2 linked regions of the Arabidopsis thaliana genome follow. The protein of the gene in region 1 interacts with the protein of each later gene in a pairwise test. Each region holds a gene or a part of one and is shown in the gene's direction. Other genes may lie near its edges.

The links. The genes of interacting proteins can lie anywhere in the genome.
Region 2: the proteins of TCP24 (region 1) and AS2 interact in a two-hybrid assay, tested with the Arabidopsis thaliana proteins (one study listed by BioGRID).

The regions. Positions count from the first base shown.
Region 1 is NC_003070.9:10,626,684-10,632,198, reverse strand, and holds TCP24 (TEOSINTE BRANCHED 1, cycloidea, and PCF family 24), read left to right. Parts: upstream 1-1,568; 5' UTR 1,569-1,627; intron 1,628-1,632; exon of another isoform or gene 1,633-1,818; 5' UTR 1,819-1,989; intron 1,990-2,388; 5' UTR 2,389-2,470; coding exon 2,471-3,445; 3' UTR 3,446-3,484; intron 3,485-4,767; 3' UTR 4,768-5,014; downstream 5,015-5,515. UniProt on the Arabidopsis thaliana protein: Plays a pivotal role in the control of morphogenesis of shoot organs by negatively regulating the expression of boundary-specific genes such as CUC genes, probably through the induction of miRNA (e.g. miR164).
Region 2 is NC_003070.9:24,396,546-24,401,521, forward strand, and holds AS2 (Lateral organ boundaries (LOB) domain family protein), read left to right. Parts: upstream 1-1,597; 5' UTR 1,598-1,968; exon of another isoform or gene 1,969-2,769; intron 2,770-2,772; exon of another isoform or gene 2,773-3,167; 5' UTR 3,168-3,284; intron 3,285-3,550; 5' UTR 3,551-3,600; coding exon 3,601-4,200; 3' UTR 4,201-4,441; downstream 4,442-4,976. UniProt on the Arabidopsis thaliana protein: Negative regulator of cell proliferation in the adaxial side of leaves. Regulates the formation of a symmetric lamina and the establishment of venation.

The DNA.
Region 1 (5,515 bases):
TGATGTGATACAGTATAATATATGAACGCAACATATCCCTAAAAATGGAATGTATTTGGTTAGCCCAAAGTGGGTTTGTATCGACATATCGTGTGAGATGAGTTAAACTTTTTTGATATACTATAACATGAGTCGGAGAAAAAAAAGTACGTAAGATGATTCATATTTTGGAATAATATATGGGTTGAAACATTATGTGATGACTGACGTACGAGTGACGACATACTAGTATGCTATTTGCAAATATTTGCTTTATTTTCACTCACTGCATCTGGATGGAACTCAATTTACAAAACCCATGTAAATTTGTATATAATTTTCTTTGACATGTACTATTTTAATATTTTTGTTACTATTTTTATCTTTCTACAACTAATACATAACATTAGATCTATAAATTTGTTAAACTTTGCTTTATACAGTATACAAAAACGAATTTTGACATTGTTTCCCTATCAAGAAAATAGTCTTAATTAGAAAGTCGTTATTGGTCGGAAGTGTAAAGAAGTTCCCAAGTTGACAATAATTTGCTTACTGAGCTACCGAGGTTAGGGATAATCGTCCAGGTCTTATTGTGAAACATTATTTAGTTTTCAAAAATTATTTAATAATTACTCTTACTAGAATCATGTTCTTACTTTACATACCAAGTATTGATAGTTCACTTAGTTTCAAAGATTTCCTTGGAAGGAAGGTTGAGTATTTTTCCCCAAATTTGAGTCTTTACGTGGAAGAAATTAAATTGTTTAGGCTTTGAAAATACAATCAAAAAGTGGTTCTAAAGCTCAAAGCTTGTTTGTTACAAAAGAAAAAATTAATATTCTTAATTACTTTACTTTTATTTGAGAGTCATATGTTTGGCCTATCTTACATTAAATCCAAATAGGTCATTACCCATGATGGCAACATGTTTTAATTCATGATGTTTCTTTTTTCCTATTTCGGTTAAGTTTTGTACTAAAACCTCAACCATATCTAAGCAAACAAAAATATCATGGTTGGCGTAGGCCGAGTAAAAGCGTGCATCTTTTGCCACGGTTAACTCATAGTGTACTGACTAAATCGGACTCCCGCATATGCCCAACAAAGAAGTTATACAATTTGTGTCATGACCAATATTCATTGTATGATTAAGGTTACTGAATTTGGCCAAGAACCCCATATATTTTATCGCATGCAAGAAGTGAAGCTTCTGCCTTTGAAGCCCATGTGTCCACTTTGTCACCTCGAGAGTGTCTTTTCTTCACCATAGCATGAAACATTATGTAAGTTAGATGTTTCTTGAAAATGTAAATTAAAACAATATAGGCTATATTTGCATCAAGGATGTATGCTTATTCCTAGTTATATTGTCTTATCAGATGTAGTGTCATGAACCTTATTTATATGATTAAAACATACATTATACTTCAGTATAATTCGATTAATAGAGGGCAAATTGATCGAAAAAGAAAATAAAAGGGCAAATATTGATATTCTAATAGTTTAGTGGCAGAATTGAAAAAGGAGAAAGAAAGAAGGGTAAAAGAGAGAGAAAAGAACAGAACAAGGAAAGTACAAAATAGTCCAAACAGTGCACTTGTCTTCCCTTGTCCGAAGGCAACTGTTTGATATTTTTCTCTAACAGGTAATAAAACTCATATCTCTAGCCTCTCTCCCCATTTCCCATTTTCTGCTAATTTTCTTTCACTTTCTCGGCTGATTTTCCTGGGAAAATACTCTTTATCTAAACGTCCTAAAACACTACTCAAAAACGAATGTTTTTTTTATGTTATAACTTATATTTGTGTGACTATTTTGATATAACTATTATTGCAGATCTGTGGATCTTAACACTTCTCTAATGCTTATAATGACGAGATCTAAGCATGAGAAGGAAGAGATAAGAAGCTCATGACAAGAATCTGAAGAAAATTAAATTTGTTTTTCACTTATCGCCGCCATTGTTGTTCTACACTGAGCTTAGACAGTTGACACCTGTAATCCAAAGTGAGTTTTCTCTTAGCTTGTTGGTGATTTTTGAGGCAAACCCTTTATTTATATTTTAAAATCTCTGCTTTATTTAATGTATCAAGATTCTTATTTTGCAAACTGCCATGTAATTTAGGGCAAAGCTTCTAGCAAGAACAAAATCATTAGTCTTGTTCATCTTCTTCACTTAAAAATCTCTCCTTTAATTTCTGGGTATTTATTATTTTCACCAAAGCTCATAATCTTTAATAAATTCCTATAGGTTTCATAGGTTTTATATAATTAATTTAGGGTTTCTGAAAAAGGCTCTTAAGCTATAGGTCTATGAACATGAATAGATTTGGCAGATCTACAAATTTTTATTATTTTTAGCCTTTGAGCAGTGACTTTAATTTCTTCTTACTTTAATTTTTGCAGATTCAAAAGTTTATCACTGCAACATACTCAGGCTTTTTACTTAATTATCATAGCTCTGATAAAGTATGAGAGTAGCGTTACAATGGAGGTTGACGAAGACATTGAGTTACAAAAACATCAAGAACAACAAAGCAGAAAGCTACAAAGATTCTCAGAGGACAACACTGGACTAATGAGGAATTGGAACAATCCATCGTCTCGTATCATTAGGGTTTCACGAGCTTCTGGTGGCAAAGATAGACATAGCAAAGTGTTAACATCAAAAGGTTTAAGAGATCGAAGAATACGTCTCTCAGTTGCTACAGCAATCCAGTTCTATGATCTTCAAGATCGTCTTGGATTTGATCAGCCAAGTAAAGCTGTTGAATGGTTAATCAATGCAGCTTCTGATTCAATCACTGATCTTCCTTTGCTTAACACAAATTTTGATCATCTTGATCAGAATCAGAATCAGACCAAATCTGCTTGTAGTAGTGGAACATCTGAGAGTTCGCTGTTGTCGTTATCAAGAACAGAGATTCGTGGGAAAGCAAGAGAGAGAGCTAGAGAAAGAACAGCTAAAGACAGAGATAAAGATTTGCAGAATGCTCATAGCTCATTCACTCAGCTTCTCACTGGTGGTTTTGACCAACAACCGAGTAACCGGAATTGGACCGGTGGTTCTGATTGCTTTAACCCGGTTCAGCTGCAAATACCAAACTCTTCCTCTCAAGAGCCAATGAATCACCCATTCTCCTTTGTACCTGATTACAACTTTGGAATCTCTTCTTCTTCTTCTGCCATTAATGGTGGTTACAGTAGTAGGGGGACCCTTCAGTCCAATTCACAATCTCTCTTTCTGAATAACAACAACAACATTACTCAAAGGTCATCGATTTCTTCGTCTTCTTCTTCCTCTTCTCCAATGGATAGTCAAAGCATTTCCTTTTTCATGGCTACACCTCCACCTCTTGACCACCATAACCACCAGCTTCCGGAGACTTTTGATGGTCGGCTATATCTTTATTACGGCGAAGGAAACCGGAGCTCTGATGACAAGGCAAAGGAAAGGAGATAGTAAAAACAAAATGCTTCCTTTCATCTCTCGCCAATCTTGGTTAGTCTTTTTCTATCTTTTTAGTATCTCAATTCTTCAGTTTTTAGAAAAATGGTTTATGGATTAGTTAAATGTAGTGATAGTACCATGTTGTTTGATTTGTTATAAATTTTGGTTTCTTGATTTCACAAAAGAAAGATGGTTTATTGGGGCGTGGCAGTGAGTCATATTTTGTTGGTTTCATAATTTCATTACATTTTTGTGTGTCTCGAAGTAATAATGACTTTAGGATTATATAATCAATGACATGTGGATGAATTTGAAAAGAGGGCTTCATCGTCTGTTTTTGTCTCCTCATGTGTTCTATGTTGGGTTTCCTTCTTCCTCAGCATCACCTTGTTCCAATTTGTGATCATTTACTTATTTTCTCTAAGGGTAGGTCATTTCATTAAATTTGTGTCCCATTTTGATGTATTTATTCATTCACATGATACAGTAATTCACCTAAACCTTTTGACTCCATTGAATTAGTTATATATATATATTAGTATTGCAAGTTCTTGGTTTAGGAAATCTTTATAGCAATTTATTTTAATATGGAAAATGTAATGAGGTGATGAACTGTTTTGGATAAGAAAGAAGTTAGTTAATATTTAATAATTGGCATCAAAGAATCAACATTTGACAAAAGACTTTGCTATGAAGAAAGTTTTGTCCTTAATAGATAAATATTTTATTTAAGAGAAAAAGATGGGAAGTTGAGTGTTTTTTGCCTGGCAAAATTGTTTTAAAACATTGTCCTCCTGAAGTGGCACCACATGCTATGTGTCGGACTCTAATTATCCCATCTCTTCATTGTTGTCATGAGCTCTTTCCCTTTAATTCGGAGCACTCACATTTTTAGATCTCTTTCACATCACATTTTGAGTGATTCATATGTTTTCTTTTACCTGAAATCTGAATTGATGTTGTTTTGATACATAAACTAAGTGGAGCTTGGTTGATTGATTCATTTCTTAAATTTCTTACTTTTTGGTTTGATACTATGGGCACTAAACTACAGGAACTTCTTTAATAACAATAATATAGACTTTGGTATCAACATAGCACTGATTTGTAAAGGTTGGATTTGTTTCTAGTAATGAGGAATTGTAAGGCTAAATGAGTTTTTATAGTTCATAATGTATTATTGTGTGAAGGAAGATGATTAAACTCCAGTGGTTGTTATACATTACTTCCACACTTCGATTTCTTGATAATGGGTTTGAACAACTTGGTCGTGGCTCATACTTTCATCAAGATATATGGTTGATATATGAAAATGTTTCTTGGAATATATGCAGGAGTGGAAGTGTAATTTGTGGGAAGACGATGTTTGTGCAGCCCTGAGCATGTATATGAATCCTCCATTGCAATCATAAGCCAGGTTGATTGTATGTTCAGACCGCGAGGAATTGTTTTTGTTTGATGAGAAACATGTGTTATGTAATGAATCATATATATGTCTCTATATGTGTTCATGTTCATTGTCATAAACTTTGTCCGAAACTCGGACCAATGTTTTCAGGTCATCCTCATTCTGTTGGCTGCATGTTATGTAGCATTTTTAAGCTTCTATGTTACAATTGGGGCAGTATGAGTAATACAAGAGCATATATCAAATTAGAGAGGGGATAAAAAGGAAGATCAATGTCTAAAGTAGTTAGCTTCAAGAACAGAGTATCCAAGTATCAAGAACAGAACATCAAAGTGTCGAAATAAAGCTTATACATATTATTACAGACTCTTTTGTAACATAATCCCTTACGTGTTACGACGATTCACATCCTTCATATGTGCCTCTTTTTAACACAGATCACACACATGTTCTTCCTCACTCGCAGACTTCTTTTACAAGAGTGTATGTACAATGGCGTTCTTCTTCGGTTTCAGAGAACCTCCCTTCGGCATCCTCCATGCCTGCAGATTCATTCGACGCAGGCCTCATGACTGGCGAAGCAGTATGTCTCAAAAAAAGTCGAGAGATTTGCGGTTTTTGGCTTCAGGACATTTGTGAACTCTCTGTTCTCTTTCCTTCATTCTCCAACATAT
Region 2 (4,976 bases), about 14 Mb from region 1:
TGTTAAAATAATGTTTTGTTTCAAATACTTAGTTTATCAAATAAACTTTTTTAATCTTTTTATGTCACCATGAGTTATCTGAATAAAGATGTTTATATATCCGCAAGACTAGTCAAAAGTGGATAGCTCCATTAACTGTTATAGTGTAACTATTCTAGTGTAACAATTCTTAGAAGTATTTGGTTTTACTATTTTAGTCTTACTTTCTATACTTGATTGTTCAGGTAACATTTTCAAAATTGGAGATGATTTTACTTAATCGTAAACTTATTACTTATATACTAAAAAGCTTGTAAGTAGGGCCCGAAATGTGGAAAACATTGTAATTTAAATCCAAACTAGTTTTAGAAGAAGACGCAATGTATATATAATAATGGAAAAATATGAAAACGATATCAGCCAAACATACTTATTATGAATATTAATTGGAGAGAAGGAGTGTAACCATCCATATGGTGTGAATTCTATGATTTTTGGACCCATTGTTATAAACGAAGGAAGAAGACAAAGAACATGAAGACATGAATAGTTTTATTTCAAAAGTAATGAATAAATATATAAATAAAAGGAATGGTTGTCGTTTGAAAATGGGTACGAGTAAATAGTGTTGCAGACTCTGCTCCAACAGTAATTACAACAATGCAATATGCAACCACGACCCACTTGCTTCTATTCATTTCCCATTCTTGTTCTCTCTCCAAATTGACTAATGTTTTAAATGTTATATGATCATGATAACCATTCTTTTTTCTCTTTGCACGCTTCTTCGTTAGGTTAGGTCGTACGTAAAAAGTGATGACCTAATCGTAGAGACCAACTAAATTTCGGTTCTGATTACTTAATCGAGTGTTTAAATTTGCTTAACTTGACATTTGTTACCAAGAAAGGAGAACTAGTAGTGAAAAAAGAGAGTTTAAAACCTTGACAATCGCTTAACCCAAAGTTTTAGAATATTTCTGCTAGTACATAAGGTAAATGTACACATTTATTGTAGTTGTTGTATTGGTTGAATTTGGCTCTGTTGGTTGAGGTTTCAGATTCATAAAAAAAAGTACTGTAGTTACTAGTAAAAATGAACTTGAATTATGGTTGTATTGTTGTTATACAAAAATGGCACACTTTATGAAACCAACTAAAAACAAGTATCCATTTCTGATAATAACATTTTCGAGGATTTTTAAGATATACAACAAAATGCAGAACTATATACAAAGTCTTGTGTCTTGAGAATGTAACTTCAATTATTAACACCAAAATGTCTAAAAACCTAAAGCATCTAAGAAACGGTGCCACTGTCTCTAACCCCTTTCTCAACAGTTCGATACAAAACTTCCATTAATGTTTTTCTATTCCCTTCACATTTGGAAATTCAAACTAAAAATGCATAAACAAAAAATACTATAACCTCATCTTAAAAATTACTAATGTCCCAGTAACATTAATCTCATAGGGTTACTAATCATGGGTTATCTTTTAAACTCCAAAAACAAAGTAGGTATCATTATATAAACAAGTTTCATGGTATATCTCCTAATTTTCCCGTAGAGGAAAGTATGAAGATATATATAGAGAAGAAAGACAGAGTCCGTGATCACTCACTCTCTCTCTATCTCTATATATCGACACACCATAAAAGTTGTTCTTTCTCTCCGTTTCCTTAGCCTCTGCATCTGGGCGATTTTCTCTTTCTATCTCCCTACACCTTAGGGAGTACTGATCCTAAACTCATCATCTTTCTATGCCTTCCTCTTTTCTTTCACTTATTTTCTTTTCTATTTTTTTTCTTTCTTACTTTGCGTAAAACTAGCGAGTCAAAAATAAAGACACTTGCATGATCCTAATATAATATTATATATTGTAATTAGAGAAAGAGAGAGAAGAGAAGAAAGAAAGTGGCAGTAGATTCTTATGGATTTTGGTATAAAGAAACATGAAAAAATGGGTTTGACCGAAGAAACTTTGAGGACGGTAACTTCATTATCAACTTTTCGACTGTATTTATATTTTAGCTTTTGTCAAACCGTATCATATAATATTAATGCGAATTACTAGTAGAGAGTATAATAATAGTAATAACAAAATGCTTGGTTACTGTATGTAAATCCCTAGACAAAAAGAATAAGAATAAAAAGAGCAAAATTCTTCATCCCAAGATCCATCAGGAGAGTCAGAGTCAGACCCCATCTCTCATTTCCCATCTCTCCTTTTCACATTTATTTCCTTTTTTTTCTTTCTAGATACTTTTTTATTTTGAAATTTAATACTAATAACTATACATTTATTGTTATTATTGTTGTTAGAGTCTATGCTAGGGTCCAAGGGTTCATCCCAATATCCCTTCTTCTCCTTAGAAACTCGCAACTTCTTCACATGGAAATCAATTCCCTCTAGTACCAAATCCTATTACTATTGAAGGTATACTCTATAGTTATTTATTTAGTTAAGTATATATATTAAAAATAAATAACATTAATTAGTACTAGTCTTATCATATTTATTAGCTCATTTTCTTATAAAATACTAATATAATAGGAAATTTAAGCACAAGATGAGCTTTGCCCATCGAGAGCCTCAAAACCCAAAAGTCTCTTCTTCTTCACGAGATCCAATCTTTTGCTTTTTAGTAATTAATTACATCTTCTTCCTTCTCTTCTCTCTTCTTCTTCCCTCTCTCATACCTACCTATAAGCAACACAAAGAACACCATTGATCCCATCTGTTTTGTTCCCTATATTTCGTTAATCCATCCATACGCATTCCAACTACACGGTACAAATTTCCATCTCTTTTTAATTTGTTTTTATAATGATTTTAAATCTCTCAGGTTGTCTCTAGACTCTTAGGTCTAGTTACCAAAATTTGACTAGCAATCATATAGCTACAAGTTCCTCTATATCATATAGCTACACATATCTCTAGGTCTGAAATGATCTTTTATCTCCCAAGCATATATTATATATTTGGATGCATACCTTTATGTTTGACTTTCGAAAAGCACCTTCATGTTACTCATTTTTTCCTCTATTTGCTTTCAACAGTTGACAAGAAGGTTGGATCAGTATATATAAGTATACATATACACTTATGTGTGTGTGTAGTGTATGTGCATATATAGCTCACCAAATATCTTTAATACTACTAATTGCAAAGTTTCTCTTATTTTACAGCTTTTTGTATGCAACCCCAAATAGCAGCTTAAAGAAAGCAGAGAGGATCTTCTTTTATTTCCCCTCTGAGCAACAGAAGCCATTATTCAAAGAAAGGCTTCTTTAATTTACTCGCAGGTAAAAGCTTTCTTATTCTATAGAGATTGAACAACTTTTTTTTTTTTTTAATTGACAACAATAAAGATTGAGCAACTTCTCTACATTATTTCTTTCTTTATTTTCTCACTTAATTTCATATTTGATTACAAAAACAGATAATGTAATATCTCCAAAATCACAATTGATTTCATAATATCTTTTTTTGTTTCCTTATACCTTCTACCTCCAAAAACTAAATTCAAAAACCCTTATTTCTCTCAATTTTCAATGGCGGCTTTGTGTAGGGAGAGGGAAAAGAGAAAAAATTGAAAAACTCCATTTTCAAGTCATTAAAATGGCATCTTCTTCAACAAACTCACCATGCGCCGCTTGCAAATTCCTCCGGCGAAAATGTCAACCGGAATGTGTATTCGCGCCCTATTTCCCACCGGACCAGCCACAAAAATTCGCAAACGTTCACAAAGTGTTTGGAGCAAGTAACGTGACAAAGCTCCTCAACGAGCTTCACCCTTCACAACGTGAAGACGCAGTGAACTCTTTGGCCTATGAAGCCGACATGCGCCTCCGTGACCCTGTCTACGGCTGCGTCGGCGTCATCTCTCTCCTCCAACATCAGCTTCGTCAGCTTCAGATAGATCTCAGCTGTGCTAAATCTGAGCTCTCTAAGTACCAAAGCCTCGGTATCCTCGCCGCCACTCATCAGAGTCTTGGCATCAACTTACTCGCCGGAGCAGCAGATGGAACAGCCACCGCCGTGAGAGACCACTATCACCACCACCAGTTTTTTCCTAGAGAACAAATGTTTGGTGGCTTGGATGTTCCGGCCGGTAACAACTACGACGGTGGGATTCTTGCCATTGGACAGATCACTCAGTTTCAGCAGCCGAGAGCCGCCGCTGGAGATGATGGTCGCCGTACTGTTGATCCGTCTTGAGATTTTAGGGTTTTGGTGGTGTTCATCTTCGTCGATCGCTTGGTGATGAGAAAACTATAATTTTAAGAAAATATTTGATGTGGAAAACCAAAATATTTTAAACGTATGGTACGTCTCTCTTAATGACATTAATTTCGGTTTTTATTATTATTATTACTTAGATATATTATGATAGTCACTTTTGTATTTCTTTCAAATTTTATGGACTTGCTCTCTTAATTGATATCACATACTTGCATTATAGAGTATATTATTTCCAAATATGTCGAGTCTATTGATCCGCATATGTACCTCCAGCAAGAATATAGACCTAAATTCAGTTAATCATTGAGTGATTTTAATGGTTAATGTTAGACTTCTTAAGTATTTAAAAAACATTATTAGTAAAAATTATGAATATGAAATATAGTGTATACCATGTAGATAAATGTATTATAGTGTTTTCCTTTTATTTTTTTTGTAGTTCAAATTTTAAAATTAAATAATAAAGGAAAACTATTAAAAACATTTAAAATTGACATATTTATATAAATGATATTTGCAAGAAAAGAGGTTTGATGTGGAACACTGTCAGCGTCAAGGATAAGATTTGATGTAAGAAGAGGCTTAACGGAATATAACATGAACATGAAACATCTTATCTCCGGGCGAATTATACCCACTAGCTCTTTCTAGGCTTTCTCTCTAATTAAAAAGTCTCCTTCATCTATTTATGATGACTCTATTTATTGTTGTTGTAAATACTAATTGTCACATCAACTAATTTAGTTTTTTTT